Arabidopsis thaliana: one gene and its partner. The protein of the gene in region 2 interacts with the protein of the main gene of each other region in a pairwise test. Each region holds a gene or a part of one and is shown on either strand. Other genes may lie near its edges.

What was found.
Region 1: the proteins of AT4G39820 (region 2) and TRFL5 interact in a two-hybrid assay, tested with the Arabidopsis thaliana proteins (one large-scale study listed by BioGRID).

The regions. Positions count from the first base shown.
Region 1 is NC_003070.9:5,404,281-5,408,146, reverse strand, and holds TRFL5 (TRF-like 5), read right to left. Parts: upstream 2,123-3,866; 5' UTR 2,010-2,122; coding exon 837-2,009; 3' UTR 661-836; downstream 1-660. Other genes in the region: AT1G15730 (Cobalamin biosynthesis CobW-like protein), read left to right, coding at 31-116, 262-366, 475-612; AT1G15710 (prephenate dehydrogenase family protein), read right to left, coding at 2,566-3,642.
Region 2 is NC_003075.7:18,475,366-18,479,915, forward strand, and holds AT4G39820 (Tetratricopeptide repeat (TPR)-like superfamily protein), read right to left. Parts: upstream 2,696-4,550; 5' UTR 2,617-2,695; coding exon 1,333-2,616; 3' UTR 1,332-1,332; intron 1,084-1,331; 3' UTR 593-1,083; downstream 1-592. Other genes in the region: AT4G39810 (Polynucleotidyl transferase, ribonuclease H-like superfamily protein), read right to left, coding at 1-370; AT4G39830 (Cupredoxin superfamily protein), read left to right, coding at 3,738-4,031, 4,097-4,189, 4,268-4,480.

The DNA of each region.
Region 1 (3,866 bases), on a different chromosome or scaffold from region 2:
GCATTGATTAGTTTGCTTCTGAAACTGCAGAGCATCACCATTCTCATGATCACACCCATGACCCTGGTGTTGGTTCAGTCAGTATAGTTTGCGAAGGAGACTTAGACCTCGAGAAGGTATTAACCCAATATGGCTCAAGTTGTGTCACATGTGATGCATAAAACTGTAGCACCTGACGTGTTACTTATAATTAAAACGATTGTTGAGATGTGCGATTGATTACTTGCATCATCTATAACCTTAGTTTTGAAAATGGATCAGGCTAACATGTGGCTTGGGGCGCTATTGTACCAACGTAGTGAGGATATCTACAGAATGAAAGGTATCCTCTCCGTACAAGACATGGACGAGAGATTCGTGTTTCAGGTGACCAACCTTTGTCATTATTTTGATCATTTCGGATGAATTCTAAAGCATCGAAGCCTTGGGATGTAAATTATCTCTGACGTTTGTGGTTTATAATGGTTGGAACAGGGAGTTCATGAAATATTTGAAGGATCACCTGACCGGTTATGGAGAAAAGATGAAACAAGAACCAACAAGATTGTTTTCATCGGCAAGAATTTGAACCGGGAGGAGTTAGAGATGGGTTTCAGAGCTTGCTTGATTTGATTATAGGACCAAATATTTAAAATCATTCCATTTTGTAATCAACTGGTCAATAGATTTTTGAACAAGAAATATCGTCTAAAGCTTGACACTAACTACAAGAGCCTGAATCAAGAACATATTAAAGCCTTCACCGTACAAAAAGTGAGTCCCTTTCTAACACAAGCGGCAAAACTACACAAGATCCCAAAACCAAAATGCCCATAAGTTAGAAGGTAAGATTCCTACTACTGACGACCAAGTAAATTCCTCCACTTATCCTTCAAATCCACCTCGCTCCTATCAGCGAAAACAACAGGGTATGAATTCTTGATATCTTTCCATGATTTTCCATATTCTTTAACTCCTTCCCTCAAAGCTGCCACTTCTTCAGAAGTCCAGAATTTCATTGGCCTTCTGGGACGCGGTCTTTCTAATCTTCCTTTCTTCAACGGTGATACATTCAGAGGTTCCGGGGTTGGTAGATGAGGCCTGACTCTTCTAGACGATGATGTTCCCTCACTATCTTCTGCATCAGTCCTATTTGCCCCATCAGGCTGAGGAGTGACATCAACTGAATGCTCCATTGCATTGTTAGGTTCTTGATCTTGCCTTGTTATAGGGTCGATGAGTCTTTGAATCTCCAACAAAAAATCCTTAAGCTCTCGAGCTACCAACATTTCCCCCTTATTAAGACTTGGCTCGTGTTCCTGTTCATGTTCATTCACCTTACCAACCCCATCAGGATTCTCCACACCACCCACTTCTTCAACATCATTAGCTTTCTCTCTATTACCTCCTCTCCGGGAAGCATATGGTGAATCCTTACGCTTAAGAAACCTCTTTCGAGCTTCTGATTCAAGAGAAGAACATCCAAGTAGTGCCCACTGCTCTTTGAGAAGCTGATTAAGATGAGAGATGGCATTGTACCTGATGTTAGTCTCACGAATCTTCTGGTAAATCTCAGGTTCCTCAAACGCCTTGTTTAGATCACTCTCCCATTTCAACAACTCACGAGTCACCAAGTCGCTCTCTTTCTCCTTCAATGTCCCAATCCGATTCCTCCAAATCCTCTCAAGGGCATCACCGAAGAAGCCATCCGAAGCATTCACTGGCCACATAAACCTAAGCGTGCATTCCACAGCAGTCCAGCAATACGCAGATTTGAGAGATCCCATGATAACCGAATGTTCCTGTAACAGAAGCTTCTCAAGAATTTCGAGGAGATCAAGCATTCCTTCGTCTACGGTACCTTGAATCATGGAATTGGAGATATCCCGCAAAACAGCAGTTAGCTTGAGTTTTACACAGTCGTCGGAATCTACTGGTTTCAGAGCCGATAACAGTGGAAAAGCGTAAACCCTAGGATTTAGTTGGCGTCGGAGGAAAAATTCAGCTACCCATTTGTCCATCACTTCCATTTCCAAGACTTTGCAAGTAAAAGATGCGAAAACCCGCGATCAGTTTTCGCCGTCGGTGCGTGGTTAGGGTTACAATTTTGGGAAGAGGAAAAGCTCCGACCAACTATGGTGGCAACAACACACGTGTGAATCATTCAAATTTAAAATGTGTTTTTTTCTTTTAATTAAATAAGACGAGACATTCAAGCGGCCCATTATATAATCGGCCCATAACGAAACGATGTTGTCCTGATCCGAATCGGGTGGGTGACCCGAGATCATTGGAGACAGAGAAAAACAGTAATGACTTTTGAGCAATACAATGTTGATCCAATACAAATATGGCCGGAGAAGGAGACAATTTGTCCGTATTTGTTTCCGGCGACCAGAGGGATAAGCATTTCCACAGATACATTTAGAGAAAAAAAGACAAGTTTATTGATACCAAGCCAAAAGAGACCCCAACATACATATGAACACACCAAAATCCCTTTTTTATTTTCCACTCTTGACGTTTTCCAAAAAAGTCACAACTTTTTATTTTTGAATCTAGCATAATCCAATCAAACTTGTGATCTTAAGATGATGATGATGATGATGATGATGATGATGATATATCATTCATAGGAACAACACCACCATCATTGAGCAATTTCTGCTCAGTTTTCTTGGGCGATTGAACCTCCCCACCAAACATTTGCTTCCTGTATTGCTGATGTAATCTCCCAAACAGCTCCTTCTTAACAGACTCAAAAGCCATATCCAATCTCTCCAACTGTTCAAGAGCATTCGGATTATACATAAACAAACCGTAGAAAAGCTCAAAGCTATCACTCGATGTGTTCTCCACCAAATCCAACAACGTCTCATAACCTTTGGTGTTAATCGGCGAAGACTCAACTCCATATTTCTCCAAAACCCTTCCCATAGTATGCGTCACGAATTGCGATCCAGCTGCGTAATAATCATGCTTCTCACAGCTCATTTCAACCATCTTGCAACCTTCATTCTCAAAAATTCTTAGAAACTTCTCACACCTCTCTTGTCTTGAAGCTGCGTCTCCGATTCTCACCTTATCGTAGACAAAGGGCAAGCCAGACCAAGAATGCTTACCACTCTCAGGTCCAAACATTGGATGAGTACAGAGAATGTCAAACTCCTTAGGAAGGTATTTAATGAAGAGGGCTTTTGGGAATTCCTTAACGGAGAGAACATCGACGAAGAGTGTGCTACGACGGAGACGTTGGAAAGGGAATGATCTGAGGACTGATTCTGTGGAGAGGATTGAGGTACAGAGGAGGACAACGTCGGGATGTTGTTCACAGAGATCGTGAGGGTTATCGAAGAAACGAGCTCCGATTGAGTTTGCGGCGTCGGAGTAATCGGAGCGGGAGTGAGTGATTAGATCGTGGCCGTGTCGAATTAGGGTTTTGGAGAGGAATTGGCCGAAATTGCCGAAACCCAAGACGGCGATTTTGAGAGCAGAGGATTTGCGGTACTCGGATTTGAGTTGGGTTTCGTAATCGAAGATTTGGGCGGCGTCGATTGCTCGAATTCGAAGAGATCGCGGCGGGGAAATGAGGAATGTGGGTGAATTGCGGCGGAGATTGGGTGGAGAAATGAGGGGTTTCGCCGGAGAGAAATGGAGTAGCATTGTGAGTAGTGTTGATTGAGTTTTAGCTCCAAAGTTGGGAGCTTAGAGAAATCTGTGAGAATAGAAGAGGAAGAAGCGGTTGCGCCAAAGGAGGAAGAAGATGCGAGCGAGCCTCAAAAATAAACGGATCAATTTTATGTCGTGGCCTAAACGTGGTGATGCTGATTGACCCAAGAAAAACAAAATGCTAAATACACAACAACACAAGGACCATAATGGAAATA
Region 2 (4,550 bases):
GTTCAGGCGCAGCTTTACCGATCTCAGCGAAAGCTTCTTTGATCCTAACGCAATCAAATCTTCTAATGTTATGACCTGCCCAAATCCTACCGTTCAACAAACCATGGATTTTCTCAGCCACGTCTTCAAAACTTGGTGCGTTCGTAACCTTAGCCCTGGTGATCCCATCTGACCTAGACGACCTTATTGAGACCACCGACAAGTCTTTAGGTTGTATAAGCGTTGTGAAGCTCTCTAGCTCCTCGAGTTTTTTTGGACATACGATGATCGCCCCAAACTCTAGTATGTGAAAATGTTGCCCTGCTTTGTTTGGTACGTTTGTTTCTAGATCGAAGAAGACGATTTCGTTGGGAAATGTTTGGACCGCCATATCAGATTTTGGTTTATGTTCGGTTTGTTAATCCTGTGAGTAGGTATGTGTATATATTGTGGATTTGGGGTTTGCGTTTTCTTGTGATAAAAGTTAAGCGTAGATTTGTGTTGGAGGGTTACTGTGGGGATTATTTAGCTTCGCGGAGAAAATTTTGCTCTGTAGGGTAAAGTAAGAATCTTTACTTTGCTTTTTCCAAACCAATAAAAAAGGGTTGTTATATGAAAGAATTCGTTGGTAGATTCATGTTCTACGAGAATTGATTCCTTTGATATTGTCATAAAGATATACAAGGAATCTGAAAGCTGAAAGGGAAAATTTCTCTCAAAAACTGGTAATATCCCAAATTATTGATCCTTATATGATCCTCTCAACGGGAATATTCAACTCAAAATACATGGCTTTAAATATTTGATTTACCCAAAATCTCTGTGCATAGGAAGAGTTGCAAGAACACACATTCTTCATTAGTGGTTAACGGCAAATGCAAAAAAACGTTATAAGAAGATGAATATGAGAAAACGAATGCAGGAAGTTACCAAGTGTTTGGGGGCAACAAACCATTTGCTAGCTTACACAACAGAAAACTACAACGAATTTGAAGCCGGTAATTGCAACAACAGAGTCTCCAGCTGAGGCCAAACCCACCAAGATTTGTTTCATCATTGAAGACATAAACTCTTTGACTAATTACCTTTGTTTGGAATGAAAACCTGCAATTTTGAATGCTAGATGATCAATTTGCATACCTCCAATGGAAATTATATGAAACCAAAACAGAGAACAAGAAGTTTAGGGCGCTAGAGAATATCATCTCTCTTATCTACCTAACCAGATTGTTTCATATTCTTAAGACTTCACAATTTATCGAAGTCATCATAACATCACCAATCAGTTCTTAGACATGCCAAAACCTAAAAAAGGGAAAAATTCAAGAATGAAACAAGAACAGAGACAATACCTCAAACTCTGGTACAAGATGAATCAAAGTCATCAGGAGCAACACGTGCAATCCAATTGTTTAACGTCCGCTTAACATCAGTATGATTAACATAAGCCAACTCATACATACTACACAAATTCACCACCAAGCTCTCGTTCAAAGCCGCGGTTGGCACTCTCTCCAATGCACTTTCCATCACCTTAATCGCATCCGATAGATCTCTCAAGTACATCAAACAAAGAGCCTTATTGTTGACAGCGATAATATCAGAGTTATCCCTTTCAATGCATTTGTCATACTCTCTCACAGCAGAAACATAGTCCTTTGCCACAACATAAACCAAAGCCTTATTCCTACCAACAAGATTGTTGAACTGTATCTCGTTCAATAAACCATTGCTCTTTCCTTCATTCAACATCTTCTCAACTCTATCAAACGTAGTTTTAGCTCCTTCTACATCACCAAACTGCATCTGAACAGACCCTAGTTTCGAAATCAAAACCGGGTCTAACGGATCACGATTGATCAATTCCTTCATCAAATCCAAAGACACCCCAAATTCCTTGTGACCTAAATGAAACCCTAGCAAGCAATTCATCACAAATGTCTCTCTTTTCTTCCACAATTCCACAGAACTCTCTAAACTCTGAGATTCTTTCTCTCTGATTCGATCTCGAACAAAGTCAAGCAAAACATATAAACGATCTAACCCTTCCTGACGATTACCAAGCTTAGTCGGGATCAAAGCGTAGAGCCATCGTAAAGAGAAAGGAACCATAGATCCTCTCCGATTAGGGTAAATCTCAGGGAACGATTCGTACCTGTAATGCGTCCCGTCGAAATCGTGCAAGGAATTAAGCTCATGAGAAGCTTCATCGGAGCGACGAAGCTTCGCGAGAGCCATAACTTGGTAAGTGAGATAAGTGAGATGCTCGTGAGGCTTTGTGAGGAGGAAGAGAGCTCTGGCTTGAGATATCTTCTCGAGGATCGCTTGCCATGAGCCACGGGTCGAAAGCTCGTGGAGCGAGCCGAGATCGTGTGTTAATTCGTCGAGCGAATTGAATCGTTCCGGTGGTAGATCGGCGACGGATGTGACTTGGGATGAGGCTAATTCGAATGCCGTCGGTTCCCCTGCATCGGTTGACTCTGCCATGGCGGTGGAATCAGTGGAGGAGGGATTGAATTCGGGTCGGGTTTCGGATTCGGGTAAATCCGGATCCATTGCTGGAGATGACTCCGTGAACATTGTGGAAGTAACCTGGTTTGGTCTTTGGATTTGGGTCGTCTTTCCAATAGATACCATTACGCTAAATTCTTCTTTTTGGCATAAAAATTTAGATTATTTTTTATTAAAAAAAAACATTTGATATGATTATGATTTTAGGCGGTTTATTAAGATTTTTTTATAATTAGATCAAAAATAATTAGATCAAATACTAAAATTGGAGGAGAATCCAAACTTTGGATTTCATATATTTTATTTTTTAATTCACTAGAAATGAAACAATAATTAAATCCAAAATTACAATTAACTTGTCTCGGATCGATTGATCAATGTTGATTTTTTGTCTTATGACTTTTCTTCGTGTAACGAAAGGAGTTACTTAAATGGTGGAGTAATGGTAATAAATACCATGTTATAATATTGTTACATACTGATAATATTATTTTCCCCATGTTACATGTTACATCATTGATTTTTACGTAGATATTTAATATAACGACCAAAAAAAATTAAGCTCTGACTTGGTCCAAGAGATTTTTTCTCGATTCTTACCATTGACCCTGAGCTAAGACTTGACCAAATTAAAAGTCTATGTGGAATGTACTGCAATAAGTAAGTCTTTTTAATTAACTAAAGAATTTCAGACCTAACCCCATATTTTTTTCGGATAAGGGGTATGAACATGTAAATTATTCAATTTTCTATTGTAGGTATTTAAATTCGAGATTTTTAAAAAATGAAATGAGTGACTAACTAGCTAGTTCAAACCGTAAAACCTATTATTCATTTAATGATTTGATTAAGTATTTTGTTTTAACAATAGTTTAGGCTTTAAAAATCTTACAATCAAACATCAAAATATAATGTGGTTTTACTACGGAAAAAGGAAAAGCAGTGTAGAAGCATCGAACATACTTGACTTTTATGACTTACAAAACACATGAGGTACACAGAATCATATACTACAATTTTACTTTGCTAATAAAAGTCGATGTATTATTATTAGAAATTATCACTAAATCGTAGAAAAGTGAAACGCGTTTTCTCTCCAGTTTTTCTCCAAAAGACAAATGAGTTATCTGTAAACACATGACATGCAATGATCTATCGTTATGTATATATGAATTGATTAATCTCGAACTATATATTGAAATCTCAGCTTCTTATCTTCTTTGATTCTTGGAGACACGATTGGAAAAATGATGAGACCGAAGAGATCATCAGACACAGTCCATGTCTTCAATCTTATGGTCCTCTGTTTCATTGCCCTGTTTTTTTCTTCCGTCCTCTGTCAGGGAAAGATCCGGAGATTCAAATGGGAAGTGAAGTACGAGTTCAAGTCACCGGATTGTTTCGAGAAGCTAGTAATCACAATCAATGGTAAGTTTCCAGGTCCCACCATTAAAGCTCAACAAGGTGACACCATCGTTGTCGAGCTCAAGAATAGCTTCATGACTGAAAATGTCGCTGTCCATTGGCATGGAATCCGACAGGTACGTAAACATCCTCGTAAGCACTCGGTGAATGACTGAAAAAGATTGATTTATATATGTTTCAGATTGGGACTCCATGGTTCGATGGAGTAGAAGGTGTTACTCAATGTCCAATTCTTCCTGGAGAAGTCTTCATTTACCAATTTGTCGTTGATAGGGTAAAGAGTTATAAAACTCACATTAAAGTTTCAATCTTTCTTTATGTTTTTATGTTAAGTTTTGAAATTTGTTTGTAGCCTGGTACATACATGTATCATTCACACTATGGGATGCAGAGAGAGTCTGGATTAATCGGAATGATTCAAGTTTCTCCTCCGGCCACAGAGCCCGAACCGTTTACATACGATTATGACCGGAACTTTTTGTTAACTGATTGGTATCACAAAAGTATGTCAGAGAAAGCCACCGGTTTAGCATCCATACCCTTCAAGTGGGTCGGTGAGCCACAAGTGAGTTCTTTTTTCCATCACTCAAAAGTCAGATTCTTGTTTGATCGATCAAATTTTATGTTTATGGATG